Struthio camelus: one gene and its partners. The protein of the gene in region 1 interacts with the protein of each later gene in a biochemical or structural test. Links are inferred from orthologs where the notes say so. Each region holds a gene or a part of one and is shown on either strand. Other genes may lie near its edges. The genes, in order: NHERF2, TBC1D10A, SGK1 and PRKCA.

Evidence for each region.
Region 2: the proteins of NHERF2 (region 1) and TBC1D10A form a complex in vitro, tested with the Homo sapiens proteins (2 studies listed by IntAct, with this or other methods). The link is inferred for Struthio camelus from reciprocal best matches to the Homo sapiens genes NHERF2 and TBC1D10A.
Region 3: the proteins of NHERF2 (region 1) and SGK1 form a complex in vitro, tested with the Homo sapiens proteins (2 studies listed by BioGRID, with this or other methods). The link is inferred for Struthio camelus from reciprocal best matches to the Homo sapiens genes NHERF2 and SGK1.
Region 4: the proteins of NHERF2 (region 1) and PRKCA form a complex in vitro, tested with the Homo sapiens proteins (2 studies listed by BioGRID and IntAct, with this or other methods). The link is inferred for Struthio camelus from reciprocal best matches to the Homo sapiens genes NHERF2 and PRKCA.

Annotation. Positions count from the first base shown.
Region 1 is NC_090956.1:2,049,827-2,056,662, forward strand, and holds the start of NHERF2 (Na(+)/H(+) exchange regulatory cofactor NHE-RF2), read right to left. Parts: upstream 3,010-6,836; 5' UTR 2,913-3,009; coding exon 2,703-2,912; intron 1-2,702.
Region 2 is NC_090958.1:4,806,393-4,813,721, forward strand, and holds the start of TBC1D10A (TBC1 domain family member 10A), read left to right. Parts: upstream 1-4,312; 5' UTR 4,313-4,321; coding exon 4,322-4,527; intron 4,528-7,329.
Region 3 is NC_090944.1:72,810,348-72,817,376, reverse strand, and holds the start of SGK1 (serine/threonine-protein kinase Sgk1), read left to right. Parts: upstream 1-4,025; 5' UTR 4,026-4,040; coding exon 4,041-4,109; intron 4,110-7,029. UniProt on the Homo sapiens protein: Serine/threonine-protein kinase which is involved in the regulation of a wide variety of ion channels, membrane transporters, cellular enzymes, transcription factors, neuronal excitability, cell growth, proliferation, survival, migration and apoptosis.
Region 4 is NC_090960.1:3,950,112-3,957,963, forward strand, and holds the start of PRKCA (protein kinase C alpha type), read left to right. Parts: upstream 1-4,841; 5' UTR 4,842-5,057; coding exon 5,058-5,230; intron 5,231-7,852. UniProt on the Homo sapiens protein: Calcium-activated, phospholipid- and diacylglycerol (DAG)-dependent serine/threonine-protein kinase that is involved in positive and negative regulation of cell proliferation, apoptosis, differentiation, migration and adhesion, tumorigenesis, cardiac hypertrophy, angiogenesis, platelet function and inflammation, by directly phosphorylating targets such as RAF1, BCL2, CSPG4, TNNT2/CTNT, or activating signaling cascade involving MAPK1/3 (ERK1/2) and RAP1GAP.

The DNA of each region.
Region 1 (6,836 bases):
GCAGGAGCTGGGCCCGTCCTTGCTACTCCCCAGCTCCCGGCTCGGCTGAATGGGGACCATTGTCCACGCACAGCCTCCGTTTTCTATGGTTTTTGTAGCTGGCAGATGCTCTGAAAGGGGCTCGCGGTGTCAGCCCAGCGCGGCGGGAAGGGGCGAGCCTGCGGTTCACGCACAGGGAAGCGAGAGCTTTCCCACCCTGCGAGTCGCTCCCTGCCCCGGCTCGCCCCGCGCACGAGGGGCAACAGCCCCAGAAGGGCTGGGAGGCAAAACCATGGGGCTGAGCCAGGGCAATGGGAATGGGGCAGGTTAAGGACATACATAGGAGCAGGGCAAAGGCCAGCGAAACCGCTGCCACGACTCCCTGCCAGCAGCCTCGGTGGAGAGGCTCCAACAGGCTGAACAGCACCTTCCTCCTGCAGGAGCCTTCATCCTGCAGAGGAGGAGGAGGAGAGGTGGCTGGGGGGACAGATGCTGGCCCCTGCATGGCACTCACTCCCCTCCCGCTCACCCACGGGGGGATCCCGGCATCAGCCGCCCCACGCAGGGGCTGTCCGACCTTCCTCGACAGGCAGAGCCTGCCGCGGATCCCAGACGAAACACAACCCCCTTCCTGCCAGCATCACAGCTTGTGGCGCGCGCATCCGCCCCAGCAAGCGGACCCCGGAGCCACGGCGCTCCGGGTGGCCCAGGACACCCCACAAAGCTGGGCTGCGTTTCCTTACAGGGCTCCTGCTCTGATCTAGGTCACGCCAGCCAGACACGTTACCATCGCCAAGGTTAGAAGTGACAAACGAGCCTAATGTGCAATTAGTTAGCAGTTATTTACTCCCCTGCATGCTCCGTTCAAGGTCAACAGACTCCGTATCTGCAAATGAAAAAACCAAGGCGAGATTTATAGGCCGCAGACAAGGCTGCTTGTCCTGAATAAACGACTGCACTGAATGCCGAAAACCATCTCCCTGCACCGTACCGGACGGCAGCTTGCCCAGGGCTCCCATCCATAACCGACCTGACGAGATGCTATTCCACCGAAGCCCAGAAAATCCATCTGCTCCTTTTCAGCTCCGTTTGCACACAGCAGCAGCCGCCTACGCTGCCGACAAGGGCCAGGCAACACCATTGCGAGGCCATTTCTCCTGCGAGGGAGCAGGCACGGGGCGGCAGGAGAGGTGCCACCAGGCAGCGCCTCGGGGGTGCACGCAGGAGAAAGGCAGCTGGGTGCTGCGCCACTGCGTCCCTCCCGCTCTGCCCCCAAACCATGCAGCTGGGTCCTCCAGGCGCTCATGCGGCAAAGTCACCAGCTGAGAACAGGGTCACACAGACCACGCCAGCTCCTGGAGGGAGCAGCTGACCCACTGCCAGCATGGGAACTCAAGGGTCAGGGATTTCGGATGCTGTCCCTGCATTGACCCCACTATGGGGAAGCTGAGCGCTGGGTAACGCCGTGCAAAGCCACGGCATGAAGCAAAGCGCTCTCCTGCTTGGAGACCCCCAGCTCAGTTGCTAGTGCTCCAGCCTGGCACGGCACGAACTGCTCTGCCAGCAGACGGTGCATCGGCACCAGGGCAGGGAGGCACCCACGGGTCCCCAAACGCTTTCCAACCCACTGCTGCCTCATGGCAGCAAACCCTGGAAGAGAGGGACCAGGCAAGCGCTGGCCAAGGCCTGGTGGGTGAGCTGCCGCTGAGCGGGGCACGGAGCAGTGCGGGCACACCAGCCACAAGTCGCTCCAAACCAGGTGCAGCAGGAGCGGCGCCAGCATCCTCGAGCCCAGCTCTGCTCCCGGCAGCACCGTTCCCGCACCTCCATCCGCACAGACTGTCACCCCAGACTGCACCAGCGGCACCAGCGTAACTGAGCCGGCCGGCGTCTTTCCACCCTTGCCAAACACCAGCTGCCTGGTGAGGCGGCTTCACCAGGCGCCGCTCCGTCGCTCGCTCTCGCACAGAGCGAGCCAGCAGCGTGCAACTCGCCCATCCGTGCAACGGCTCCCGGGGTGGACCGAGGGCTTCCCCCCAACCCTATCAGCACCGCGCACACCCCACAGTGGTGGAGATACTCAGACCCAGGAAGGGTTGGGCTTATCTGCAACCTCCACCTCTGCCGAGAGCACATCAGCCCCGTCGCTGCCAAAGCACGGCCCCGCGCGGCCGAGGGGCTGCAGCAGGAGGCCCGCGCTCCTCCGAGCCGAGGGACAGGCACCCCCGTCCGGCACTGCTCCTCCAGCAGGATGACAAGGACCAATGGCACCTCTGGAGCCCCTGGGGACCAAGCCCTCAGGCAAGGGCCGCTCCAGAGGCGCACAGCCCTGCTGCCCAGCAGGCCTCTGGGACAAGAGCCAAACACCCAGAAAACACATTCTGCTTTGGAAAAAAAAAAAAAGCAAAACAAAAAAAGGCAGAGCAAAGATGCAAATATCATCAGCTTCAGCCCAAAACAGCTGCACCAGAGCAGCAAGGCCTTGCCCACTCCAGGGTCCATCCCGGGGCAGCTCCGGGGGTGTCTGCAGGAGCAGCGCTTGCTCGAGGCCAGGAGGAGGAGGAGGAAGAGAGGCCCCAGCAGCTCCCCCAGCCCGGCCTTGGCCACGCTCGCCCCCGGCCGTCCCGGGGATGCTGCGGCAGCAGCTCCGGCCCGGGAGCAGGATGTTAACTAACTTAACGGGGCCCGCGCCGCCGCGGTCCGGGTCCGGGTCCGCTCCCCACCTGGTGGTGCGTCTCCTGCTCCACGTTGAGCCCGTTGACGGCGACGACGCGGTCGCCGGCGCGCAGCCCCGCCGCCTCGGCCGGCGAGCCCGGCTCCACCTTGCGGATGAACTGCCCGCTCTTGCCCTTCTCGCCGTGCAGGTGGAAGCCGTAGCCGCTCTCCCCCTTCAGCATGTGGCACAGCCGCGGCTTCAGCTGGTCCTTGGCCATGGCCGGGCGCGGAGCGGAGCGGGCGGCGGCGGCGGCCGCGCGGCCCTTTTATGTGCGGCGGCGGCGGCGGCGGCGGCGGCGGCGGCGGGCGCGGGGCGGTGGGCGCGGCTGGGGGCGGCCCTGCTGCGCGCTGCCCCGCCCCCAGCCCGGGGCGGGGCTAAGGCCAGGGGGCGGGGCTAAGAGTGGGGGCGGGGCTAAGACCCGGGGGCGGGACTAAACCTCGGGGGCGGGGCTCAGGGCTGGGGGCGAGGCGCGGCCACGCTGCGCGCTGCCCCGCGGAGCCGGGAGCGCAGCGCCGGGGCGGGGAGGGGGCGGGGCAACGGGATGGGGCGGGGCTAAAGGCAGGTATGGGGGCGGAAGGCTAAGGGACGGGGGCGGGGCTAAGTGCCAAGGCGGGGCTAAGGGGAGGGAGCGAGGCGCGGCCACGCTGCGCGCTGCCCCGCGGAGCCGGGAGCGCCGCGGAGGGGCGGGGGCGGGGCTGAGGGCGGAGACGGGGGCGGGGCCGGGCGAGCGACGAGGCGGGGGGGGCCGGGCCGGGCCGGGGTCGCGGGGCCGCCCGGGATGCCCGGGACACATGGCGGGGAGATGCCCGGGGTGCACGGAGCGGGGCCGCCCGGGATGCCCGGGGCGCACGGCGGGGAGATGCTCGGGGTGCACGGAGCAGGGCCGCCCGGGATGCCCGGGGCGCACGGTGGGGAGATGCTCGGGGTGCACGGAGCGGGGCCGCCCGGGGTGCCCGGGGCACACGGCGGGGAGATGCTCGGGGTGCACGGAGCGGGGCCGCCCGGGGTGCCCGGGGCGCACGGTGGGGAGATGCTCGGGGTGCACGGAGCGGGGCCGCCCGGGATGCCCGGGGCACACAGCGGGGAGATGCTCGGGGTGCACGGAGCAGGGCCGCCCGGGATGCCCGGGGCGCACGGTGGGGAGATGCTCGGGGTGCACGGAGCGGGGCCGCCCGGGATGCCCGGGGCACACAGCGGGGAGATGCTCGGGGTGCACGGAGCAGGGCCGCCCGGGATGCCCGGGGCGCACGGTGGGGAGATGCTCGGGGTGCACGGAGCGGGGCCGCCCGGGATGCCCGGGGCACATGGCGGGGAGATGCTCGGGGTGCACGGAGCGGGGCCACCCGGGGTGCCCGGGGCGCACGGCGGGGAGATGCTCGGGGTGCACGGAGCGGGGCCGCCCGGGGTGCCCGGGACACATGGCGGGGAGATGCTCGGGGTGCACGGAGCGGGGCCGCCCGGGATGCCCGGGGCACATGGCGGGGAGATGCTCGGGGTGCACGGAGCGGGGCCGCCCGGGATGCCCGGGGCACATGGCGGGGAGATGCTCGGGGTGCACGGAGCGGGGCCGCCCGGGATGCCCGAGGCACACAGCGGGGAGATGCTCGGGGTGCCCAGGACCCCATTTCTCTCCATGTCTCCGGAGTGGGAGAGGTTCCCACTAGGATCCTGGGCTCCTTGTCAACAGGGGCCGTGGCTAGATCTCCTCACCCAATACCTACATAGCTTCCACCGAACGCTTCGTGTCCTCCATACGCTCCGGCCGGGGCGGATGGCGTTCCTCAGCATGCGGGTCCAGCGTTTCGGTTGGAGATGCAGCGACAGGCCCTGCTATAGCCCGGACAGCCTCCTGCTCCGTCCCCAGCGCGCCTGACAGGCGCCGGCCGGGCTGCAGCATGGCGCGAGCTGGTGTTGGTGGGACGCACAGGTTCCCCTCCTCGCCCTTGTACGTCCCTGATCGGCGTTTCCTTGAAACCGCTCACAAGGCAGAAACGAGCCGGAGGAGAGGCGCTGCGCCGACCGGCCGGCCCAGCCGGAGCGGCTCGTCCTGCTCCTCTGTCACAGCGTGTCTAGCTTTACTCCGTGGCGCTGCTCCCTCCCCAGCTGCTCTCCAGGCAGATTTCTGTAGAGCTGAAGCAAATGCAACAGCCAACTTGAGGCTGCAAATAAAATACTCTAGAGATGAACGTTGATTTGCTTTTTAATTTGCGGTCTATTAAAAAAAAATATTTCCACTGAAGCTGTACATGAAGTAACTCTTGGTCTGAAAGATGTTTGAATCGAGAAGATGCTTGCTAAGTGTCTTAGAGGGAAGGTGCTGTCCTGGAGTGAATGGCATCACGTACCTCCGTCAAGAGTGACCAGCCAGATGCCCTGTGCTCCGTACGGACTTCGCACGTAAGGAGACGGCACAACAGCGGGTATCGCTGGGACCAGCGAGATGGTCACCGCGAGCGCTCGGTGGCCTTCGCTGAGGGCAATAGGACCACCAGGCAGGAGCGATTTCAGCGCCCGGCTGCGGGGTCAGCCCTGGCGCTGCCTCGCCGCCCCTTGCCGGGAGGTTTCGGCCGGGAGCGGAGGCGCCGGGGGAGGCCGCCGGCCGCCTCCGCCGGGCGACACGAACGGAGGCCAGAGAGCCGGGAAATGCGGCGATTATCGCCGTGTACCATGAGGACCCCCCGAGCTTCTCCGCGGAGTCGTGCAGCCTTTTTATCAGCCGAGGTGAGTGCGAATAATTGATTTTTCCGCTCACTGGGCAAACTGAAAAGCTGGAGGGAAGGGGAGAAGAGAAGGAATTGTTTCCAGTTTGTTTGAACGAAAACTTTTTTTCTTTTTATTCAGTGCAAAAACAAAAACCACAAGGGAGAAAATCTTTGGGGTGGTCAATCAGAACGGTTTTAACCCGTTTGAACAATTCTTTAAAAAAGTGTTGGTAACCTGCAAAATAAAAACATGGAAAAATACCATTCCAAAAACGTGAAAATGAAATTTTTGAATTTTCCTAAAATGCTTATTTTCTAAAGCAGAAGCTCTTTCTCAAGTCTTGTCTGAATTTGCTGCTTTCCCTTCTGTCCTTGTCATCCTCAAAAGGCATCTTTCCCCCCAGGAAACATCTATTAACGACAGAGAAATTAAGCAGGGCCAGCAGCCTGCTCGGTGCTGGGCGTCACCTGCCAGGCAAGAGGACGCAGCCCAGCCTTGCTGCCGGCTCTGCAAACTGCCCCGAGGAAGACTTGTGCGAGCCTTCCTCCCCGCGCGTTGCACTGCGCCCGTCAGCGGGGCAGCGTTTCCCAGGCTGCTCCCGCTCGGAGGCGCCCGACGCGCCGCGGGGTGACTCGCCCTCCCTCCTTGCTGCTCTAACCGCTCCTCCTCTGCGCGGCACGGGGACGACGCGGCCGAGCGCTGGTTCAGCCCGGCGGTTTTGCGCCTCTGCTTCCAAGCGTCGACGCGGTCTCCTGGGCTTTGCAAGCCGTGCTTTGGCATGGACGTGGCTTGACGAGACACGCTGTGTTTTGCGCTGCGGTCGATGGGAAAGCATCCAGTGTCATGTACGGGAGCTGGGAAGAATGTGGAAATATGTTGTGCGAATATGCATCCTCGCGCAGCACAAAACCCCTTTAATTCGCGAGAAGAGCTTGCCGTTTCCTAAGCAGCGTCGGCTGGACTCTGCAGCCGCGCAGAGAAAAAGCAGAGAGCCCATCAGGGCTTCTGCACTTACCGATATACCAGAGTCATGATTAGATTCAACAGATACTGCAGAAGTGAGGGGTGTTTTTTCCATTTAGATTTCTATGCGTTTTGATTTGGGCAAATATTTAAGTCTTAATGGGGCTAACTTGAAAGCTGAGGAAGTTTCCCGGCTCTGCATGCTTATTGGCTTGGAAGAATGTGCAGCTCTCTTCATTTGACATCTGCTCCAAAGCAAACAGGTTCATTTATAATTCATTCACTGCACTTTATTAAGCACTTACATAGAATTACACCTGTACGCCGACCGCTGCTTGCTCTAGGCCTGACAATATTCCCTAGCTAATGCAAAATACATACGCTGTGCAAAGTTTCACAATTACAGAAAGTGGGCTTGACCGGCAGCCTCCCTGCGGGGGAGAGGCCGGGATTTTTAAAGTTTGCACAGCAAAGT
Region 2 (7,329 bases), on another chromosome or scaffold:
GCAGCAGGCTTTTAGTGATCAATGCTTTGCTAGAATGCTGGTGTCCGCTTTTGCTATCTGTCCATTGAATTCCCTAATGAAGTGGCATTGAGGCCATGCCCAGCTTAGATTAGCTCCATCTTTGTTTGTAGAAGGGGTTTATACTGATCAAGAATATCATCTGACTACAGTGTTTGCCACTTCATTTAATCTTTTTCTAATTGAAAACTTTCTTCTCGATATACTTAATACACTCCTTATTCTTTCTCTGTCTCTGACCTATCTGCAAGAGTCTCTTGCACTGACCCTGACTTGGAATTTTATCCTCCCTCAGTATGAGTGCACACTGCCATTCGTCATGATAAAGATGATCTGGGACTGTGCATGCTAAACAACTTCATGATTATTCTGTACAGTCTGTGATTTGTTTTAATAAACACCCATCTTAGTGTGGGATTCTGTCTATAACAACTCTAGTTCCTTGGGTTTTATGTTTTTTGTTTTTTTTTTTTTAAAGATTGAAATGTGCCTGGCTTTAAAGTGTTCAAATTTTAGATGCGTTGTGGGGAATTTTTTTTTTGTAGTTGGCTTATAGAAAAAGCTTTTCCTTCATAGGAAAAGCTGTAAGAAAGGGTTTTTGTTAAACTTCTCTAAGACTACACAGTTATTCCCATATTGTAATACAGGTGTATATATAATTGCTGTTTATGTCCATGTATGAGGTGACAGATTATTCTGAATTTAAATCTAACTAGTGAGAATTTCCTTGTAAAATGCATTACATACTTTGTGCTTCTATCATCTCTTGGTCACGGAGAGCATTAGCTTCTAAAAATAGATTATTTTTGTACCGTCAGTCATAGCTGTGTCACGGTTTGATGCAAACATAACACAGAACATGGTGAAACAAAAAATAGCCATTAAAATCTATGTGTAAATAAGTGGTCAAGGAAAATGCTGTTGTCTGTTGTTGCCCAGCAGCGGCCACGTGACTCTAGTACCTCTGCTCTCCTTTTAGGATAATCCAAAGCTATGATTTTTGGGGTATAGACATTAGCTTTTAACATCCTGTTATTTTGTGCTTAGGAGAGAGAGAGAGAGATTCAACATCCTACACAGGACAACATCCTACAGTCCCCTTTGTGCCCTCATCTTTGAGGGTAGGTGGGAGAGAGGAAATCATAGTGGTGTGGGAAAGGTGTTTGGCCCAGGCCCAACCCAGGTGGCTGGCGGTCCTCCCAGCTCATGGAAGCCAGCTGCTGTTTTTGACAGATGCCGGTGTCGGATGCCCACGTGTCTGAGAACAGCACAGCGCTTAGTCACAAAAGCGCAGCCTGCTCTGGTGCTGTAGGATATTGAATTAACAGCTTCTTGCAGCTGTGGGCAGGGTGTTTGGGTGTATTGTGGATACAGAGGTGCTCCTGCCCTGCAGGAAGGCGTGCTAATTACTTTTGGCTTGTAAAAACTAGACAATAGTTAGGTACAATCTCCTGGAGACAACAACACTCGGTGGCATAGCTTGGAGTCATTGCAGTGGAGGCAGCAGTTTGCTAAAACAGCATGTGCATAGCTAGCTAGCAAGTGGTGTTTTCCAGAGCTGATCAGCTCTGCAAGGAAGAGAGAGCTCTGAAATGGAGAAGTGATGTTTCTACATCCTGTGTAAGACACCAAGCGTGATGGGGCTGCATTTAAGGTCATCCAGCTGTTGTTCTGGGCTGCACCCATGCAGTATGAACTGCCATAGTGCTTGATGCAAGGAGCATCATCTGCGCTCCCTTATCAGACATTTATTTCCTAGGTGTCTCTGGATGAACGCTGTGCTGGTGCTTAGGTGACGTGCTCGGTCTTCAACAAAGTCAGGCTACTTCTACAAGCGTCTGACTACATCCTGCACGGGGCCGAGTGCCCAGCCCAGCATTCCTGCAGGAGAACTTCCTGCACTGGCCTCCAAGTGAGAGCACTAGAAATAACTTGCGTGGAGACTTGCCAACAGCCAGCCCGTTTCTATCTAAATATTGCAGATGAATGTTAAAACAAGACTGCGTGTGTGTGTATCCAGTACAAAACAACTATTATCAGGGCCTTCCACTTCAGTGGGGTGGATCTGCAAAGCTTAGACTGCCTGAAAAAAATCTGAAAATAGGCCCATAAAGCCAGCACCTGAATTAACCTATCAGTCTCCTTGGCCCTTCGGACTTGATGTCTTGCAGGTTTGTGAGGGGTCTTGACTCTATTAAAGCCCCTCTGCTTTGCTGTTCGTGGGAGAAAGTCATGCTTTGTGTTACTGCCACAATAAGTTTAGCCTTCAGCATGGGGTCATAATTTTATCAGAGGGTGATAAGGGTCTGGACACAGGGAAGGAGCTCTAAGGCTGCCTCCTCGCTGCAAAACTGCCAGTGGAAAGTTGCATCCATTTTGACCTGTACTGGACGAAAGACCCAGTGCTGACACTGAAGTCTGCTTTGTGCTGGGCCCTGCTAGATCCTTGTGACTAGCCGGAGGAGTTTTACTTGTGTGAGGTAGAGACGAGAAAGCTCCGCTAGATTTCAGCGTGCTCCTTGGGTTTGTGCTTCAGGCCACTAAGAGACTCGCAGATAGCGGCAGCTCGTTTGCAGAGACCTGGGATCTGTGGGCTTCACTGGCTGCCGGTTCACTCCTGCTGTCCAGCTGAGATGTGAGGGAGATGCTTCTGCTGGTGACCCTGCTCGCGGTGTTGCCCTGCTGGCAGTTGAGCTGTTGTGTGCCTGGTACCCTGCTTCCTCCCCTCCCTCTCCAGGGAGTCCTGGTACAAGCTGCAGTTGTAATATGAGAGATTTTTCAAGGCTTGATGCAAAGGTTGATCTCGTGGGAGCAGAGCGGAGGAGAGGTAACCAAAAGGGTTTCTCTAGAGAAATGGGCAGGTCTGTTTTACGCTGCACTGGTGTAGGCCAAGCTGGGGGACAGTTTGTGGTTGTGTGCTGGAAATCACAACTACAGCATGCTTTTAAAGGCAAACGCACGTGTAGTTTCCTTTTAAAGTATGTTTTTTGTGAGCCTGTTGCCTTTTAACTGCAGTACCCAGCCCTACAACCAGACCGACTCTCACAGCTTGAGCTCTGATAATGTGAAACAGCTCTCTGTGTCTATATGACTTGCCACTGAAGCCTGACCATAGCAGATGAGGAGTTGCTGGTTGTATCTGGTGCCCTAGGAGAGCATGAGGAGAGGCAGAAGATCACACAGGTGGTGGAGACTAAATTGATGGCTTCTTTAAGTCTTCTGTCACCAGCTGGCGCTTCTGTGATGGCTTTGCCATCTGACAGCCTGGGCTGCAGAGCTGCTCCCCTCTGAAATGATCTTGTGAAATGGTCCCGAAGCTGAGGGCGCCTGCGCTGCCCCATGGAGCCCTCGGTGCCTGGCTGGGCCCGGGGCAGAGGTGAGCCTCGGGGCGGACGCTGCCCAGAAAGAGCTGCTGGAGCTCCAGGAGGATGTGAAATAGGCTCCTTTGGGGGCTGGAGGGGCAGGAAATCCACTGCAGGGTCAGAGAGAGAGGGACTACGGTGCGGCCCGTTCCCTCGCTGGCTCTTCAGCACCAAGACAACCCCACGCGTCTGCAAAAGCAGCTGAAATCAAAGCAGAAGAGGCAGATGCGTTGCCTCGCCGGCCACAGCACAACCGGAGGAGGAAATGGGAGCTGCCAGCGGGCACTGGAGCCGCCCCAACTTCAAAAACAACGGGGCGCTTCCCTCCCGGCCGTTTCCACGTTGCGGGCTGCGGTGCTGCCGTGGCCCATGTGCTTCCCTCCCGCGGCGTGGGGGAGGCGGAGCGGGCCGGCGCTCCTGCGTGGCCCGAGACCAGACTGCCGTGGGCCGGGCGGCGGCGGCGGCAGCTTCCCTGCACAGCGAGGGAAAAGGCAGACGAGCCTTTTTGAGTCTCGGCGGCTCCTGCCCGCGCGGCGCCGCCCAACAGGGGCCGGGGCTGCCGGCCCGCCGGGCCAGAGCGGCGCCTCGGGGCCCCTCGGCCGGCGCTTCCGGCGCGGCCGCCGCGCTGGGCCCCGATGGCGGCGGCGCAGCCCCCGCCCCCGCGCTGACTGACGGCGTCTCTCACGCTGACGGACAGCTCCCGCCCGGCGGCTCGCCCAATCACCGCCCGGCGTGAGCCGGCCCGGCCTCTCCCCGCGGCCGCCGGTTGGCGAGAGGGGGAGGCCCGGCCCCGCCCCCGCGCGGCGCCCAATGGGCCGGCGGGGCAGGGGCGTGGCGGCGCGCGGTTGGGCCGTGGCGGCGGCGGGGGCGGGCCGGGCCGAGCCGCCGCCGTGGCCGGGCCGGGCGGCGCGGGGGAGCGGCCGCGCCGCCGCCGCAGCGCCATGGCCAAGAGCCGCGGGGGCGGCGGGCCCGGCTCGCCCGGCAGCCGCCGCGGCCTGGCCGGCACCCGCGAGAGCCTGGCGGCCGAGCCGGGCGGCGACGAGCTCAGCTCCCTCGGCTCCGACTCCGAGGTCAACGGCGGCGGCCCCGAGGAGCGGCGCGTCGACAAGTTCGGCTTCATCGTGGGCAGCCGCAGCGCCGAGGGGCCGTGAGTGCCGGGGCGGGGGCGGCTCCGCGGGGAGCGGGCGGGCCTGGAGCCGCGGGGCCGCCCGGGGCTCGGCGGCGCCTCCGGCCCCCGCGGCCTGCGGGGCGCCCGGCCCGGCCCCGGCCGCCGGGGAGCGGGCGGCGAGTCCTGCCCCGCTGCCCCGGCCCGGCCCGGCAGCGGCCTGCCTGCCTGCCCCGGGCCCGCGCTGGCGCCTTCCCCGCCGCGCTCGGGGCCGGGCGGCCTCCGCCGGGGGTCGCGTTCCCCGCAGCCGCCGACTGCCTTCGCCTCTGGGCCCTGTTTCACGCGCTCCGGCTCTGCTCGGTGGCCGGGCTCCCGCGCCTGGGCTCCGCGGGGCCGGGGGGAACCTCCCCCCGTGCCTGGGGTAAAACCCTGTCAGCAGGGTGGACGACCCGCAATAAACCTCGGGCTGCTTTTTTTCGTGACTCTCGTATCGGCTCTTAGCGCGCGAGGCTGGCAAGCAGCGCCCGGGAGGAGAGCGGTGCGTGACGCCTCCCTGGCGTGCTGCACCGCGTCCCTGCCCGGCGGCGTCAGCCGGCTCCCCGAAACCGCTGCCTGCAGCGAGGCGGCTGGGGGTGCCGGGGAAGTGCTGCACCTCGAGGAATCCAGAGTTCAGCTGTCAGCCAGCCCAGCATCCCACGCAGACCCGTCTCAAAGCTGGCTTGCAAAACACCGATGCTCCAAGGCCAGCTTTGGCTCGGTGGCACCATAGTGAAAACAAAACAGTCCCTGTGGCCGGAGAGAAGTGAATTTTGGGCTATGTTGAGCCTACAAAGTGTGAATCTTGGAATGCACCAGGATAGGGTGATCTAGAGCTGTTGTTTGTCCCCAGCGCCTCTGTTTAGGCTGCTCCTGCCGACGTTCTGACGTCGCTCGAAGTGACCGAAGCTTGCTGGGCAGTGTTCCTGCCTCGTGCTGTAAATTGTTTAAATTTTCTTGGGGGAGTCACAGAAGCAGGACGGTGCAGGGTCCTCTGCCTTTCCCCAGCCTCCTGCGCTCTGGCGCCGGCGACTGTCTGTGGGCTCTCCGCTGCTCGGAGCTGGGACGTCCTGCGGCGTTGCTTGCGCCCACAGCGGAGCGTGAGGCTGGAGGAGCGACGCTCTGGGTCCACGTGGACGGCTTTCCTGCTGCACCAGAGCAGCAACGGGAGTTGCAACGGGAAAAAAGGCAGCAGGGGAAGTTGGGAGAGCCCCTAACGCTGTTCCAGCTTCTCCCGTGTCCCCTGCCGGCTGACTGGGAGGAGAGAAGAAGGGAAACACGCAGGGGGCTGGAGCAGTTTCAAGGAGAGGCTAGAAAGCAGCGCTCGCCTTGGGCGGGGGGAGGCGTGAGGGAGGAATTGCTGAGCGCCGTAAGTAACGCCAAGGCCTGCTCGCTCCCCTTCCACTCGGTGATGTCAGTGTCTGGTTACCTTGAGGCCTGTTCTCGTCCAGGCGCTGGATTCCTGCGTATTTTTGGCCGTCGTCTGACAGGGGGAGGCCGTGCCGTTGTTTGGCTCTCCTGGGTGCTGGCTTCCTGCGAGGGGAACTCGTAGGCTGGTCGGGAACATCTGTAGCCGCTGGAAAAGCAAGCAGTTACTGGAGGGGCCATGGCGAGGAGGGGAAGGCGGCTGATCTCCGTTTGCAGAGGAAGCCATCGGAGGAGCCTCCAGAAGGGCTCCCGCCCTCCCCGAGCCCCGCGCAGCTGATGGTGGGAGGAAGCGAGGCTGCTGAAGTCAGCTCTGAGCAGAGCAGCGCCAGGCTTGCTGGCAGCCAGCTGGGAGGCAGGAGGGCTAGTGGCCGTGCTGGCCCCGTGGCTTGTCCCGCAGCACCAGACTCCGCCGCGGAGCTGGGTGGCGCTGGTTGCGAGGCGCGCTGGAATGTGCCCCGGCCGCCCCAGGTCCTGGGGAGCTGGTTTGGCGGCATGTTTTTCTTCCTGGCGATGATGTTTTTGCAGCGACACCCAGAGAAGCGAGGGATCAGACCTTGCTTGGGCAGGTGGCCAAGGTGGCAGCTTGATCCTCTCTAGCTGTGGCCTTACCTAGGACTGGCTCCCCTGCGATTTGCACCTCGCAGGACGCTCCTGGACGCCCTTGTGGCCGATGCGGGGCCGGCGTGACAGCTGATCTGGCCTGGCCCCCAGCCAGCAGGACCTAGCTGTTTACCCCCCCCCCCTCACCCGGTGCGCGTATTCTTAGCGCGTCTGTGAAGTTCCCCGAAGGTCAGAGGGGTGCCGGGGCTGCGCACTGACATGTCTGAGCTCTTGTCCCCGCTCGCCTGCTCTGATGTCGATTGGGCCGCATGCCTCAGTTTCTCCATCTATGAGGAGCAAAGCGTGCATCCCTCCTGAGTGTGGGAAGCCTTCGTAAGCCAGGAGCCTGTGGGTGCTAACTCTGCTCCCCCAGTACTGGTGTCTAGGGAGAAAAGCTGCTGAAATGTTGATTGCTCGGCTGCTGGGCAAGGTGCTTTGCTCTCTCGGTGGGTGTCAAATCCCTCATCTGCCTGTCGGGATCATTCTCGGTTAATTCATTCATGCGCTCGGCACTGCATAAAGTGGGAGGCTCTTTCCTGGATGGAGGAGCTCTCCTGCCCACAGTGACTGTAGCCGGAGGCAGCTGGCTTGCACGTGCCCCTCTGAACGAACCGTCACCTCTCGGGGCGCTTCTGAAGGCGCCGTGGTGGCAGCCCCGTTACTCGGGTGCCCTCTCTGCGGACGAGAGCACAGGAGGATGTCCCCGCTGTCGTCCCAACAGATGCGGGCTGTCACTTGTGTTCGAGTTCCTCCCAATGGCTTTCTCCTGCGGTTGCTCTA
Region 3 (7,029 bases), on another chromosome or scaffold:
GGTGATTGTATGTTGGGGCTATTAGTGCATCACTCACTTTCCCATTCCTATTAGTGACCCGGAGAGCAAGGAACAAGCACGGGTGAAGAGCTGGACAAAAACTTGGCTAATAAGGAGCACCCTGCAGTCCATGTGCTCGAGAGCAGGGAGTGACAGTGGAGCACAGAGGTAAACACAAATAGGAGCTGAGCAAAAAGTGCTGCATTTGAGTGGTATAAGGATAAAAAATACATGAGAGTTATCTTAAGAGGGGTGTCCAGACAATAGGTTTTCAAGATAGATGCTGGCAGCTACAGGAGCAACCAGTAGCTTAGGAAAGTGTGATGAACTAGCCTAAGGCAGAGGTGAGATGAAAGCACCAGGTAGACTCAGCTAGTCCTGTTCCTGGAGAAACTAGTTCCTTGTTCCTTGGCGTGCCACCAAGTCGACAAAAGCCTTTGGTGTTTCATGACAGTCACAATAAAGCACTGCTGAGCGATTGGCTTGCTTGGCTCAAATTTTTATTTTCCTACTCAGTTTTTAATGCCTTTTGATTGCAGTTAAATGCAGTGAACATAGAGTTTTATGCTTATTTCAGGTTTAATTATGAAGCCATGCTTTTGGCACCATAATGAAGCAGAATAGTTTTTCTTAGGAAAATCTTTCTGGCTTTAAATCTTTATCTGCTGGTGTAAAAACAGTTGTATGTGGCACCCCTTCTGCTCCTTTCTATGACTTTTACTCTCCTGTGCTAAATGTAAACTTTGCAGCCACTGAGTCGCACCTCTGATATCCTTGGTAAAAAAAGTTAGCACATAAAACCCTTTGAGACCACAGATCCAAAAGCATGACAGCTGAGAAGGATTCTTACCAAAATATCATTATATTGGAGAGGCCAAGAGGGCTCCAAATGATGTAGTGGTAGTGTCCCAGCACATTCCCCTCACAGGATAGCACCTGCCTCAAAAAACAACTTCTGCAGTATTTTAAAACTACCAGGCTGCTTTGAAAACAGTTGTTTCTCTGGTAGAAATATGCTTAGCTTAACTGCATACTTTGTCCAGCTAAAAATAGGCCAAAACCCAAATAGAAATAAATACCAAAAAGACCTGACAGGCATGCCTCCAATCAGGCTTTGGAGGCCAAGGCCCTGGCACCAGGACCGATGAAATATTTTCACAGAGGCAGTTGCCACCACCATCAGTACGCAGGATGCCAGGTTTAAAAGGCTAGAAGGAGAACAGCGTCTCAGCCAGCCATCTGGAAATCTTATGGAGGAGGTAGAGGCAACACAAATGCTTTGTGAAACAGAAGATAGTGCTGAGCCCTCAGGAGAAATAACAGAGGATGAGAGACAGATCAAAGCTGTGGCTGAATAGATCAAAGATCGCAAAAATAAACGTATGTGCACAGCAAGCAGCCTAGTTAGCCTGAATGAAAGCCATTTTTGAATAGTTTCCTTGCGTATCAGATCAGCCGACAAAGCACGTGGTGCTGAGAATAGCCACTGGTAAAAAATTAGACACTCACTGTTATCTACTTCTCTATCTATAAGCACCAGAATACAAACTTGACAGCTCTAAAGCACAGGAAAGGATTAATGAGAGATTTTTCCAATATGGCTAGTGTTCAGGGTGGTGCGGAGGGTGATAAGTTCAGAGCGGCCTGACTGAGACATGCTGAGAATTTCAGATTTTCTGCAAATCCCTCAACGTGCCTTTAGCTGGGCAGTTTTTGGAGTCTGGGCTGAACTGCTGCTTGGCAAAATCCATTAGCTTCAGATAGAGAGGCAGAGTGGAAAATTCCACACTTCCCTCTCTCCTTGGTCCAGTGCATATTTATTAGTTGTACAAAATGGAACAATTCTGACAAGATATTGGCTCTTCAGCCCAGTCCTTTAAAACTTGGAAACTCAGAGTTATGTCTTTTGTGTGACTTGGACCTTGAACTTGCATTTCCCTAAGTGAACACTCAACATTCTGACCTGTGATGGGGTTGTACATTTACCCTGCAGTTTTGACCAGGATTTTCTCCTGGACCTAAGAAGTATTCCTCTATAAAAGTGTTATTGAAACAGCTGCAACTGCTATCATTGAAAAAAGAAGGGGAAAAAGAGAGGAAAGGGAGAGGGAGAGGAAAAGAGAAAGGAGGGAAGGGGAAGAGGAAGGGAAAGTGGAAGGGGAAGGAAAAAGGAAAGGAAAGGATTTTTGATTGAATGACATAGCACTTACTAAAAAATTCTTTCCTCAAGAAATTCCAATTGGCTCTAATAAGAGTGTAGCCAAATTCAGGTGTTTACAGAGAATGAAGACTAGAGGTACAAAAAGGGGAAACACAGGCTTCATGCTAGTGAGTCTGTAAAAAGGCTACAGCCTACAAGCACCTTGACATGGAGTCTCAGCTAGAAGCACAGCTCAGAAGGACCAGGGGGGTTCTCCTAACTATAGCAGCAGGTGTTTCACCTGAGCATGAGGTAGTGCAGAAACCAGTGCTGACACAGGATGTAGAACTTAAGTGTTCTTATATTTCAAGAATCTTGAAAAAAGGACAGAAGGGACAAGAAAGAATAATAGAGCATATTCAAGGACTAGAGAAAATACATTCCACTAAAAAAGGTAAAAGGCTCAGTTTGTTAACCTTACCGAAGAGATGCTTGAGAAGTAAGTGATTTACAGTAGAACAGCTTTTTCAAAGGCGCTAGATTCTCTGTACTACAGGGCTGACTAGTCCCATAGAGAAAGGTTGTACAGCAAGTAATGGCTAGAACGGGAAGCCAGTTCAATCTTAGAAATAAGGTCCTTTTTTTAAACTGAGGTTTATTAATGTGGGATGTAGAATGAGAGGAAGTGAAAAAGTGATGAAGATCTTGCTGCAGAATTTACCTTAATTAAATGATATTTTATTTTTTTGCTAAACACATGTTATTAGATTCACTGGGATTGGTGAAAAATACCTAAATAGAATTTAAAAGACAGAAGGTTAGACAATTTGTCCTCTCAAGATCCTTTTCAGCCTGAATTTTCTGTAATTAGATAGTCCTTGAGTTTTGAGAGTTGTAGTACATCTATGTTTCTTCGGCAGAAAAAGGGCGAAAATATCTGAATAGATTTGTTTATATGTTCTTGCTTTCCATTTATCTGCATCATATATGGCAAATTTCCTATATGGGAACCATTGTTTTCCTTTAAGCTCGTTGAACTTCACAATGAAGCTCCAGTGCTTCTCTGTCTACAACATGCCCTGTCACATAACCCATCCATTGGTCATCGGATGGGTTTTTTTTCCCAAGTACCACATTCTAAATCACTGTGATGAGAACAACTTAAGAAAAAAACATTTTTTAACTGACCTGGGTCTCTTTTTTTTTTACACAAAAACTGTCCAAATATAAAATGTGAGCTATCCTGTCACTCTCCCAAGGGAAACATATTGCCTTTCAGCGCTTCTCTCCCTGAGCCTTCCTCCTATCCTTTGTACGCTTATTTGTGTTCTGCTGCTCTTCCTGTGCATCTCTCTCTCTATCTCTCTCTCTTTCTCTCTCTCTCCTTCTCTCTCTCTCTCTCTCTCTGCTGTTGCTGAACTGCAGCTCCCACCAGCATTTGCACAATCAAAACCAGCTCTCATCTCAAACAGCGGTGAATCACCTCACCTGAAGAAGAACAGCAAACTGAGCTCATTAGCCTGACTGCATATAAAGCATGAGGTACCGGTAGCACCCACCGTACGCAAGGATCTGCCTTTATGTGAGACTCGCTTAGCCTGAGATCTGCTGCCTGTGATTTGAAAGCTGTCACAAGGTTTTTTTAGGAGTGTGTGCATTTAGGGGATGTTTTTTAAGAAGCTAATAGCCTGCTGCAACTGAAAGCTGGAAAAGGCTGCCGCTCGCTGCTGCTGCTGCAGTAGCTGGTGCAGAATGAATGTGTAAAGGATAGCTGCCTGAGCCGAGCCGGTGAGCCTCCCGTCCTACTCTGTCTTCATTAACTGGAGGGATACAGAGGAAAACAGATGCATTAAGCAAGTGCCACACTGGATCTATCACTGTGTACTCTTCACTGTGGAAAATGGTCAACAAAGACATGAATGGATTTCCAGTCAAGAAGTGCTCAGCCTTTCAGTTTTTTAAAAAAAGGGTAAGGTTTTCCTTTAATTCTTTCTTTCCATTTTCTTTTTTTTTTTGTTTGCTTGTTAACGTGCCACAGTAGAGTAAGTCACTGAAGAAGGAGAGTGTTTTAACAACAATCTTCTCCGATAATGAGCCCCCTGAGCTGGCAGTTCTGGCGAACACCAAGGGCACCGGCATCTCAGAAGAGAAGGGGACCTGGGGAGGGGGACGGGGCAGAGGCACCAAACGGCATTACGTAAGCACTCTTTGCTGTGGAACGTGTATCTCAATCACAGCTGACCACAGGGCTTGACGCAATACGACCAGCTATTCAGATTGGGATAATACACTCCAAATCAGAGTGCGGGTTTGTTGCAGCTTGCCTCCCTCTCTCACTCCCTCCTCCACATCCACCTAGGGGTATGACTTCCTCCACACCTTTTCATTCACTTGCCAGAAGCGCAGCGCTACCCACCTCCATTCATCATCTCACAGAGAAAAAAAAAAAAAACCACACAGAACAAAGAGGCATTTGTGAGATCAGCAAAATATTTCACAGCTTGTAATTTGCCTGTAATCACAATTAACGCAGGAGAAAAGAGTGAGAGTAAGGTCCACCTGGATTTGGTTCTGTTTTATGTTCTTTAATTTAGACAGATGTGTCAGGGTTTGGAAAAAATTTGCTGTATGTTGTATTTGACTGCTGATTTCCAGAAGGAAGCATACATGAAACACTCTGCCTCAACACCTTAGCTGAGTCTGCTCTCTGACCGTTTTACAGTGACGATGCTGAACACACTCCATTTAACTTAATCAACAAAGTCATTTCCATGTGACAGCAGGACAGGTATTCTGAATACACCTGGGTATTCCTGGATACCAGAACAGAGAAGCAGAGCATCCTAAAGAGATTGGTAGCAGGGACTCCCCTATGGAAAGGATTTCCTGAATGATTAAAATGACAGCCCTCTCTTTAAACAGACAGGAGTAAGAGCAGATAAGCTGCTCCATTCACTCATTCATTCATTTATCCCATTCATTCTCTCTCTGTGTTACGCCAAGAATATGGTCACTCCATTTAACCCTTCAGGCAAAGAAAGTGAAGCTGACACCAAATGCAGATTTATAAGCCAGGGTCAACCCCTTCTGGCCAACAAAATGCCAAATTTAAGGGCAGACCTGGTAAAACACAAGCAGGGTCAATCAGAGGAAAAAAAATGTGGTCTTTGCTGACATTTGTTGTTGTTTCAGGGGTGGCTGGTGGAAGCTTCAGGTAGAGGTGGAAGCCCAGACACTACTCACACTCAGACTGTAAATACTGTCCTTGACCCAGGCAGCTTCTAATTTAAGTATATTACTTTTGGTACCTGTAATTTTGATACATAGCTCACCAGAAAGCTTTATCTGATTTTCAAAACTACTCAGAGGTTTAAAGACAAATTTGTTCTTAAAGAGGAAACAAAATGACTTGCAATTCCTGCATGAAGTTGTTTATTGGCAGTAGTTTTCTATCTCATTTAGTGCTAAGACAAGTTATCACAGGAAGGCTCCACATCACTTTGTTCTAGAAAATTGGGAAAGTTGTTTTTGTCAAAGCTACGCTGATGATCAGTGATTTTCTCTTTGGAAAAGGCTGTCAAATGTAATTATATTTGAATAAACTAGCATATCAGGACAGTCCTGTGCAGTGGTTCAGGAGACATAGTCATTTTTTAGTTTCTGGGGATTTTTCTGTTATCAGATATTGCATTTTTGCTATGGTGACGAAGATAAATGAAATCAGTGAAATCAATTTAGAGACACAAAGGTAGGAAATTCCCTCCGTATGCATTTTTGTCAATAGATAAATGTGTTCATTGACATTTCAGTTACCCTCATTATCTTCTTCCTAGAAAATCCTCTGTATCCAAATGTTAACCATATTGTTCCTACATCAGTGCTTGCGAAGTGTACAAGCAAGAAAAGCTACACATTCCAGATGTGCTACTAGCTTCCAGTAATGTATCTTGCATTTACTGGACTGGTGACATGCTGCATTTAACTGCTTTAAGAATCGGACAGGATTGTTAAATATAATCCGTTTGGTTCCCTGTCAACGCTCTGGACACTCTATCTGAACAACCACCAAAATCTTGCATCTAGAGAAGCACAGCTACGAGGTTTCTTGATTCAAATCTAGTGTGTGATATTGTTATTTATTTGACTATTTGCCTCACAACAACACCAGGGCACCATAACGAACACCAGCAACCAGCTGGACACATCCTGTATCAATAGTGAGAGGCAGATCTTGCACTGAGGAGCTTAATAGGTATGATTTCGGGGATGAGATATTGTTATCCTAATTTTCCTGACAGGTTACTGAAACCCAGAGAAGCAGATTCATTGTGTGTGTACAGAATAGGCTTCCCCCAAACCACTCACCATGTCTAGGATGAAGCAGGGGATGGAAACCCAGTCTCTCAACTTAAAATTCCCTGTGTTTGTCTCCTAAAAAGGCTCACATTTCTAGCACAAATGATTTCTAGTTTGATTCTAAAAATCCACATCAATCTGGATTAGAACACCCCAGTTTTCAGGGAATGTTATTTTTCCACTAGATTAGATTTGTTTGGAAGAAAGAACCAGCTTAATCTTCATTGTTTTTGTTTTCCATAGAGCCTTATGTTTTCCTTAAATTGCAATCATCTTTGTTGCTCTGGCCAAGAGTGCAGAAAGGACTGGCAGAGCTCTGTGGATTTAGGCTAGGCTGAAAGTGCATTCAAACATTGACTTGAATCTCAGAACCAGATTTTTTTTAAAGCCTGGTTTATTCTCTGATGACAAAGCACTGACTCTCTGGGATGCTGCCTGCTTTGTCAGATGATTCAGAGTATGGGCTAATCACGTCCGGAGGTCCGAGGTTAGGAAGGAAAGGCTGAAATTAAAAGGCAACACATCTGATTGAT
Region 4 (7,852 bases), on another chromosome or scaffold:
GAGAAGAGAATCACGTTGATACAGAGAGGCACAGATGTACAAACCCAGATGTACGCATATAGATATAAAAAGACACAGAAAGATACAGATACCAGTGTTGATATAGAAAAATATAGAATATTTCTACCTCCTTACCACACAGATACAAGCACGCACATACATACAAACACACACACAAATACATCCTACCTATTTCCAAATTTTGGAAACATTTAGGGTTCGTTGTCGCCAAAGCATCCAGATGAGAACAATAAACAGGATTTTGCTGATGAATGTGTAATAGGATCTGGAAAATATATAGGAGTAGTGGACCTTTTCTCATCTGTGCTGGACATGACATAGCAATCAAACTTGTGAAAAACTGAACTCTATAACTGATTTCAAAGAAAGAGAGAAACAAACAAACGTGTCGAAAAAGAAATCTGGAAAACCTTGCCTCTGAAATTTGACTCTGAAGTCTGGATAGTCAGAGAAGCTGATTTTGATTCAATTATGGTTAATAATTCCACAATACTCGCCAACAGAAATGTCTCATAAACGGACTGTGTGGAAATTCCTTTGAAAGATGAGACCAGATGAAGCAAATAATTTGTAGACATCTGGTTTGCAGTGATTGACTCACTCCCTAACAGGGGTTAGGGAAACAGCTACTTGTTCTGGTACTCTCTAGAAAAGGAAGTGGTTGTGATTTGCTTTGAAATGTCAGGAGAAATTAGGTTGTGAACTTCCTTATAGGTCTTAGAGCAGGAACTGATCCCTGTTTGCTGAATATTTCTTACAATCAGGAAATAACAAAATAGAGAGCTACAACTGCCAAAGAAGGAGACAGAATTCTCCTTGGCTTTGTCTTTGAGTTGATCTAGCGCAGCGCTGAGCTGATCCAACAGGTGAGTAAAGAGAGAAACCATTTCATAGGCAGCAAAGTGACTCTAAGCAATTAGAAACCTCTTTCACAATGGACACAGATGCTTGTACCTGCAGACCTAGGAAGGCATTGACACAAATGCAGAAAGGACTTGAGACAGTTGTGCTTACTACAGCAATAATCTGAGCTCAGAGAAAAACTCGCACACCCTCCAATGGGAACTTCCAGCAGACATGAACTCTGTTGGGCACTATCCAAATATTCACATGGGAGTAAATTTGTTACCAGAAGACCCCATAAAATGATGCTTTGGAGTCAGGAATTCTGGAGCTACTTGCCAGGAGATTGGAAAAGCTGATACTCTGATTTAATAACCACGTATATGCCCGAACACAAACAACGATAATGCTGACTCCTCATCCAGATGGCTGAATCAGAAACAAATTGCAAACACTATCCGAAGCACAAGAGCAAGGCACGGGTTGCTGCTGGGAATGTGTGCGTTCAGGAAGAGATAGCAGACTTCTTCCAATAACTTGCAGGAGCATGAGTTCCTGTATCACCCACAGAGCTTGAATGTAGAGTAGTAAAAATGAATGTCCAGGCAATTAAAAGCCTCCCAGGAAGAGGATGCTGATTATTAGGACAGCATATACTAAAAGCATCTGGTAGGTATGGACCGTAGTATCCCTCCATACTGTCACTGTAAGAGCATCCTGATCAAAGTGACTAATCTTGAAATTTCAAATTGAAATACTATCTACAAGATGGGGAAAAAAGCACTGTAAGTGCTGTGTACGCACTGTGTTAAGTGGTATGTATATAAAATACAATAATAAGGGAAGTTGTATGTTATGTGCAATAAGGAAAAGTTATGTTTTAACTCTTTTGGGGGGCATTTTGCTGTGCACAGATAAAGGATTTTTTTATCTTGCCTGATATGTTTATTCACAATGTAAAAATCATTATTATGGTAGGAGATAAAATGATTGCTTTACAAAGGCAGAGTAAAGTGATCCTAAGGTTACCTTGTGGTGTCAGTACTGGTGTGGTTTGGCTTTTCCTTGGGATAATCAGTAGGTGTTGGAAGCAGGAGGCTGAGACACTAGCAGGTGCTGCAGCGAATGAATCTTGACCAGAGACGGTCTCAGGAAAGAAAATGGAATACAAAATGATTCTGCAGGGTTGTGACAGTCTAAACAACGATAACAAAAAGCAGGGATAAGGGATAGTTCAGAAGAACCGCAGAGTTCTGATGCAAATAAATGATATTGTTGGGTACCAAATTTCAATCCAACATTTTATGGAAGAGTTGTCTGATGAAATGCCACAGACATATCAGTTCAGCCAGGCTGCATCCAGAAACCCAGGATTTAGAATTACGTACAAGATAACATGTGTAACAAGTTATTTCTGCTCTGTGGTAAATGTCCGTGTGCACAGTTTTTTCCATCAGCAAGTAAGACTTAATTTGAATTAATTAGCCTTCTTTCATTCTTGCGAAACAAAATGTATTGCATGTGCCTACAGAGGCAGACTTATGAGTATGTACATATATTGTGGTGGAGAAACTTTTATTATGCACCCATTCCACATATGTGAAAATTTGTAGCTGTGAGAATAAAATTTATAAACGAAATTATGAAACACGTGTATCATGTTTCGATGTATGCACAGCTGTGCTTTATGCTCTGTGTTTTTCTGAATGTATGGAGACGCTGCATGAATGGCTGTATGAGATGATGTTTGCATGCTGTATGCAGACAATGTTTCTAGGTCCAGGGATCTGTGAACATTTTATTTGTCATGTGAATAAAAGAAGTTGAATGGTTTTGTTATGTTATAGAACACTTGGGAATATGTTGCATGAAAACATGGTAGAAGTCTTTTGCGTATGTGGTGGATGCGTTAATTAGTGAAAAAGACTTGCTGTGTGTTTACTTTTTTTGTTGAGGATATTCATATCGTATGATCAATTAAATATATATGGCACATTGCAGCGGGGGCAAGACACCGAGGCCCCTCGTCTCATGTATTTGTTGTGCTATCTGGTGTGTATTGTGCAATGTACATTTGTTTAGCAAGGCCTCGCACAGCATTTGCATGCACACCGTTGGGTTTGTGGGTTGCAGGAAGGGGAAAGGAGAGCATCTGGGTGACACCTTTGTTTGCGGTGGTGGTGCAGCAACGTATACCTGGGCAGGTGCCAGAAGCACATGCTGTGCAAGTAGCCACTACCAGCTGGGTCCGGGCTCACCGCACATCCGGTGGGGATGGCGGCAGCACGTGGCACCTAACAGCCGCCGGGACGAGCGAAGGTGGAAGGAAGGCAGCCGCGAGCGCGCACTGCTGGGCTGGGACCGCTGCTGCAGGGCTGTGGGGTGCGGGGTGCCCCTGGGTGGCACCCTGGAGTGGGTGGCTTGGAGTGGTGCACCGTGGTGGTGCCCCTGGTGTGGGCGCCCCATGGCGATGCCCCTGGCACGGACACCCCACGGCGATGCCCCCAGAGTGGGCACCCCACCACGATGCCCCCAGGGTGGGCGCCGCATGGTGGTGTGCCTGGCATGGGCACCCCATGGTGGTGCCCCTGGAGTGGGTGCCATTGTGGTGCCTCCAGTGTGGGCACCCCACGGCGATGCCCCTGGGGTGGGTGCCCGGCCTGCGGCTGTGCAGCCCCAGGAGAGCTGCCCTGTGCTGGGGGCTCTGCTGGGGCCCCCCGGGGTGGCAGTTCCCACGGCCAGGGCTGAGGAAATTGTGTGTGTGTATAGGTGTGTGTGCGTGAGAGAGAGAGAGAAGGGAGTCAGGTACTGGGGGGGGGGGGGTGCGCGCACGTCCGTGTGTGTGTGTGTGTGTGAGAGAGAGAGAGAAAGAGAGAGAGAGAGAGAGAAGGGAGCTGGTTGCTGTGTGTGTGTGTGTGTGTGTGTGTGTGTGTGTGTGTGTGTGTGTGTGTGTGTGTGTGTGTGTGTGTGTGTGTGTGTGTGTGTGTGTGTGTGTGTGTGAAGGGAGCTGTTTGCCGCATGTGTCTGTGTGTGTGAAGGGAGCCAGCTGCCGTTTCTGTGTGTGTGCGAGTGTCAAGGGAGACGGCTGTCGTGTGTGTGCACCCATGTGCCTGTGAAGGGAGCTGGCTGCCGTGTCTGTGTGCGCATGTGTGAAGGGTGCTGCCTGCCGTGTGTGTGTGTGTGTGTGAGGCAGTGTGTGTGTGAGGCGGTGTGTGTGTGTGTGTGTGAGGCGGTGCGTGTGTGAGGCGGTTTGTGTGTGTGAGGCAGTGTGTGTGTCTGGGTGTGTGTGTGAGGCGGTGTGTGTGAGGCAGTGTGTGTGTCCGTGTGTGTGTGTGAGGTGGTGTGTGTGAGGTGGTGTGTGTGTATGAGGCCGGTGTGTGTGAGGTGGTGCGTGTGTCCCGGTGTGTGTGAGGCGGTGTGTGTGTGGCGGTGTGTGTGTATGAGGTGGGTGGGTGGGTGTGGCGCGGTGCGTGTGTCCGTGTGTGTGCGCGAGGTGGTGTGTGTGAGGCGGTGTGTGTGTCTGTGTGTGTGTGTGAGGTGGTGTGTGTGAGGTGGTGTGCGTGTGTGAGGCAGTGCGTGTGTCCGGGTGCATGTGTCCGGGTGTGTGTGTGAGGTGGTGTGTGTGTGAGGTGGTGTGTGTGAGGCGGTGTGTGTGTGTGAGGCGGTGTGTGTGTCCGGGTGTGTGTGTGAGGTGGTGTGTGTGAGGCAGTGTGTGTGTGTGAGGCGGTGTGTGTGTCCGGGTGTGTGTGTGAGGCGGTGTGTGTGTCCGGGTGTGTGTGTGTGTCCGGGTGTGTGTGTGAGGCGGTGTGTGTGTGAGGCGGTGTGTGTGTGAGGCGGGGGCCGGCTGACGAGAGGCAGCAGGTGCTGCCGGCCCGGCCCAGCCCAACCCACCCCCCCACCCCAGTGCGCGCGCTCCCCCCGGGGGGGGGGCGGCCCCGGCGGCCGCAGCCGAGCCGGCCCCGCCCGCCCCTGGGGGGCTCGGTCACCTCGCGGGCGGAGCGGCCGGCGCGGGCCCGCGCCCGGGATCCTCCTCCCGCTCCCTACGCGCCGCTCCGACGTCAGGCGCGGGAGCGGGAGGCAGCGCCCAGCGCCGCCGTTGCCAGAGACTCGGCGGCTGCCGGACGGGGCGGACGTCGGGGCGGCGACTCCCGGCGCGGCCCGTCTGCCGGCAGGGGAGTGGAGAGGAGGGTGCTATGGCCGACGTGTTCCCGGGCTCCGAGCCCGGCGCGGCCCCGGACGCGGCGCGCCGCTTCGCTCGCAAGGGGGCCCTGAGGCAGAAGAACGTGCACGAGGTGAAGGAGCACAAATTCATCGCGCGCTTCTTCAAGCAGCCCACCTTCTGCAGCCACTGCACCGACTTCATCTGGTGAGACGCCCCGCCGCGGCCCGCGCCCCCCGGCCCGCCGCGGCCTGCCGCCGCGCCCCCCCCCCCCCCGGCCCGCCGGGCTCGCCCCCAGCACCTGCGTCGCCCCCCGCCGGCTGCCTCCTTCCGCAGCCGTCGCGCTGGAGGGGCCGGTTTCCCCCCGGGGTCGGGCAGGTGAGTCCCCCCGGGGGGGCTCGGCGCTGTTGTCCCGAGCCCGGGGCAGGCAGCGGCGCTTCCCGGCGGGCTGCCCGCCGCGGCAGGCGAAGCCGCTCATCACCCGCCCCGCCTTCAGCCCCTCTCGGCCCCGCCGCTGGGGCCAGGCCCGGGGTGGGGGGGGGGGTGGGGGACCCGCCGTGCTGTGTGGTTCCCCCCCCCCTCGGCCGCTGCTCCCTGGCACAACTTCGCAGCCCTGCCTTTAACTTTGCTGTCTGTTTATTTCCTCTCGCTGCCAATGGAGGGCAGGAAGATTGGGAGCGCGCGGTGGCACTGCGGCTGGGTCCTCGCGCTTAGGAAAGAGATCTTATTTTGGGGGTTTTGTTTTTCTTTTTTTTTTTTTTTTCCTCCAGAGAATGGTTTTTGCTAGGGAGGAAGGGAGCGAGGCTCTTCCTCCCAACACCCTCCTTACTGAGCTCTCGGGGGTGGGGAGAAGAAAACGTGCCTCTGGGATCCCGCCGTGCCCTCTCCTGGGCAGGATTGCGGCTCCGCTGCAGGCCCAGCCGCGCTGCTGCTGCTCCGGCGCGCTTGTCTCTGCGTGGTTCAGCTCTGTCTGAAACCCTCCCTCTCCCGTGGCGGGAGCGGGCGCGCGAAGTCTGCTCACACATGTCCCGTGCCCTCGGCTAGGTGAGGCAGCACCGGCGGGTGGGCAGGCGTGTGCCCTTGGGTCCGGGTGAATGTTTTGTGCCTTCAGCTAGCACGCGACAGAAACAACTTGTGCTTCCTTTCCTCTTACCTAGGAAGAGATGAGGCTTGGTCTTCAGCGTTGCTCTGCTCCTGAAGTTGCCGAGGGTTTCCTTGCAGGTTTCCTTGCCAAAATTGAGACCGGGCGGTTCATTTTAGCCAACTTTGTAGAAAGAGCAGAGGGGGATGCGCCCAGCTGGCTCTGTGTTTTTGGGCAGGTGTCTTGGTCTTGTCACAAGTGTTTATGTCCCTGAGTGCAGACGTTGGCCTACCTCCTTGTGTTTTCCTCAGTTTGCGGGCCGGAGAATCTGGGGCTGCTCCAGAAATGATTAAGATACGTTTGCAGAGTAAAGGGTTTGAAGGAAAGGAAAGGAAGGAAATCTGAGATGGGTGGACTGCAGGAGAAGCAAGCCAACTTCTTTGAGAGCGTGTGTTTTGTTTTGTTTTTAAGTTTTTCTATTTGAAAGAAAGTAGTCACAAAGTTGGGTATTGTAAAAGTGGGAGACCTTTGGAAACTGCTTCAAAATTATCCCGAAACAGGGAATTGGGAGGTGTGAAAGAATGCTGCAGGGCTATTGTCGGCCCATGTTTGTGCAGATGACTAACACGATTTAAAAAAAAAAAAAAGGGCAAAATACTGTAATAAGAAAAGGCACCTGATCACAGGATGCATTTAAAAGTGAAAGGATATCCTGTAGTTGACAGGTGGCAAGAGTAGCTGTAGTCTTTTGTTCTTTTTTGCTAGTAAGTCTAGGAAGCTCTTAACATTCTTCAAAACAGCATGTGGCAGCTCCAAAACTTTTGTTTCATTTCCTCATTTGAAGTTAGATGAAGCATTCTTTATTCCCTCAGATGCTTATTCAAGATATGTCTATGTTCAAAACGACGCGTGGCTATTAGCATGCCTTGTAAGGTATAAAGAATAGTAAATACAGCCTTTCAACACACTGTAATCTCTGTGCGAATAGGCTTCTTTTTTGTTTTTAGCTTATACTTGACCGGGTAATGTTTACCGAAATAATTTACTACCTCTTTATTTTCTTCAACAACTTTCACTTATCTGCTTCATTTCTGAAACGTGGTGGGTTTTTTTCTTTTTTTTGAGATATTTTACTCAAAATGCATTGCAACTGACTAGAGCATGGAATAGACTAGCCAGACCACAGCTGCTTAGTGTATGAATTTAGCTCAAATGCTGAACAATGGCTATGCTTTCAGTAGATATTAGAGGGATGTTCTTTACAAATAAGTCCATTTGAAAGGACAGAAAACTATCTAAAGCCTATTTCATGTTCTTAGTTCTGCTGTCAGCTTTCGTGGTTTTACGCTCTCATTTGCACACTTTCAGTACATGCTTTTTACCTTTGTGAACACAAGACATGAGAACAATAAAATAACATTATGGTATAGTCACATATGCTGCCGAGTAAACAAACAGTTTTATATTTATTTTGGATATGTTAGTTTAGACCTACTTATAACGACAGTAGGTAGAGACTTTTGAGCAGAAGTTTACAAAAATAATCAAAGTTGTATAATGTGAGTTTTCATCTGAATTAACTGTGTACCAAAGATTTTGTCCATTTTCTATTTTAAAAAAGAGCAAAAAAAAAAGAAAAGAAAAATGGATAAATGTTTATTACATTGCCACAAAGTCCATAATTCAATTTCATGTTTTTAAGTGTGTACAGCCTACTGGCTGGCTTCTACACATAGTTGGTTTAGGTT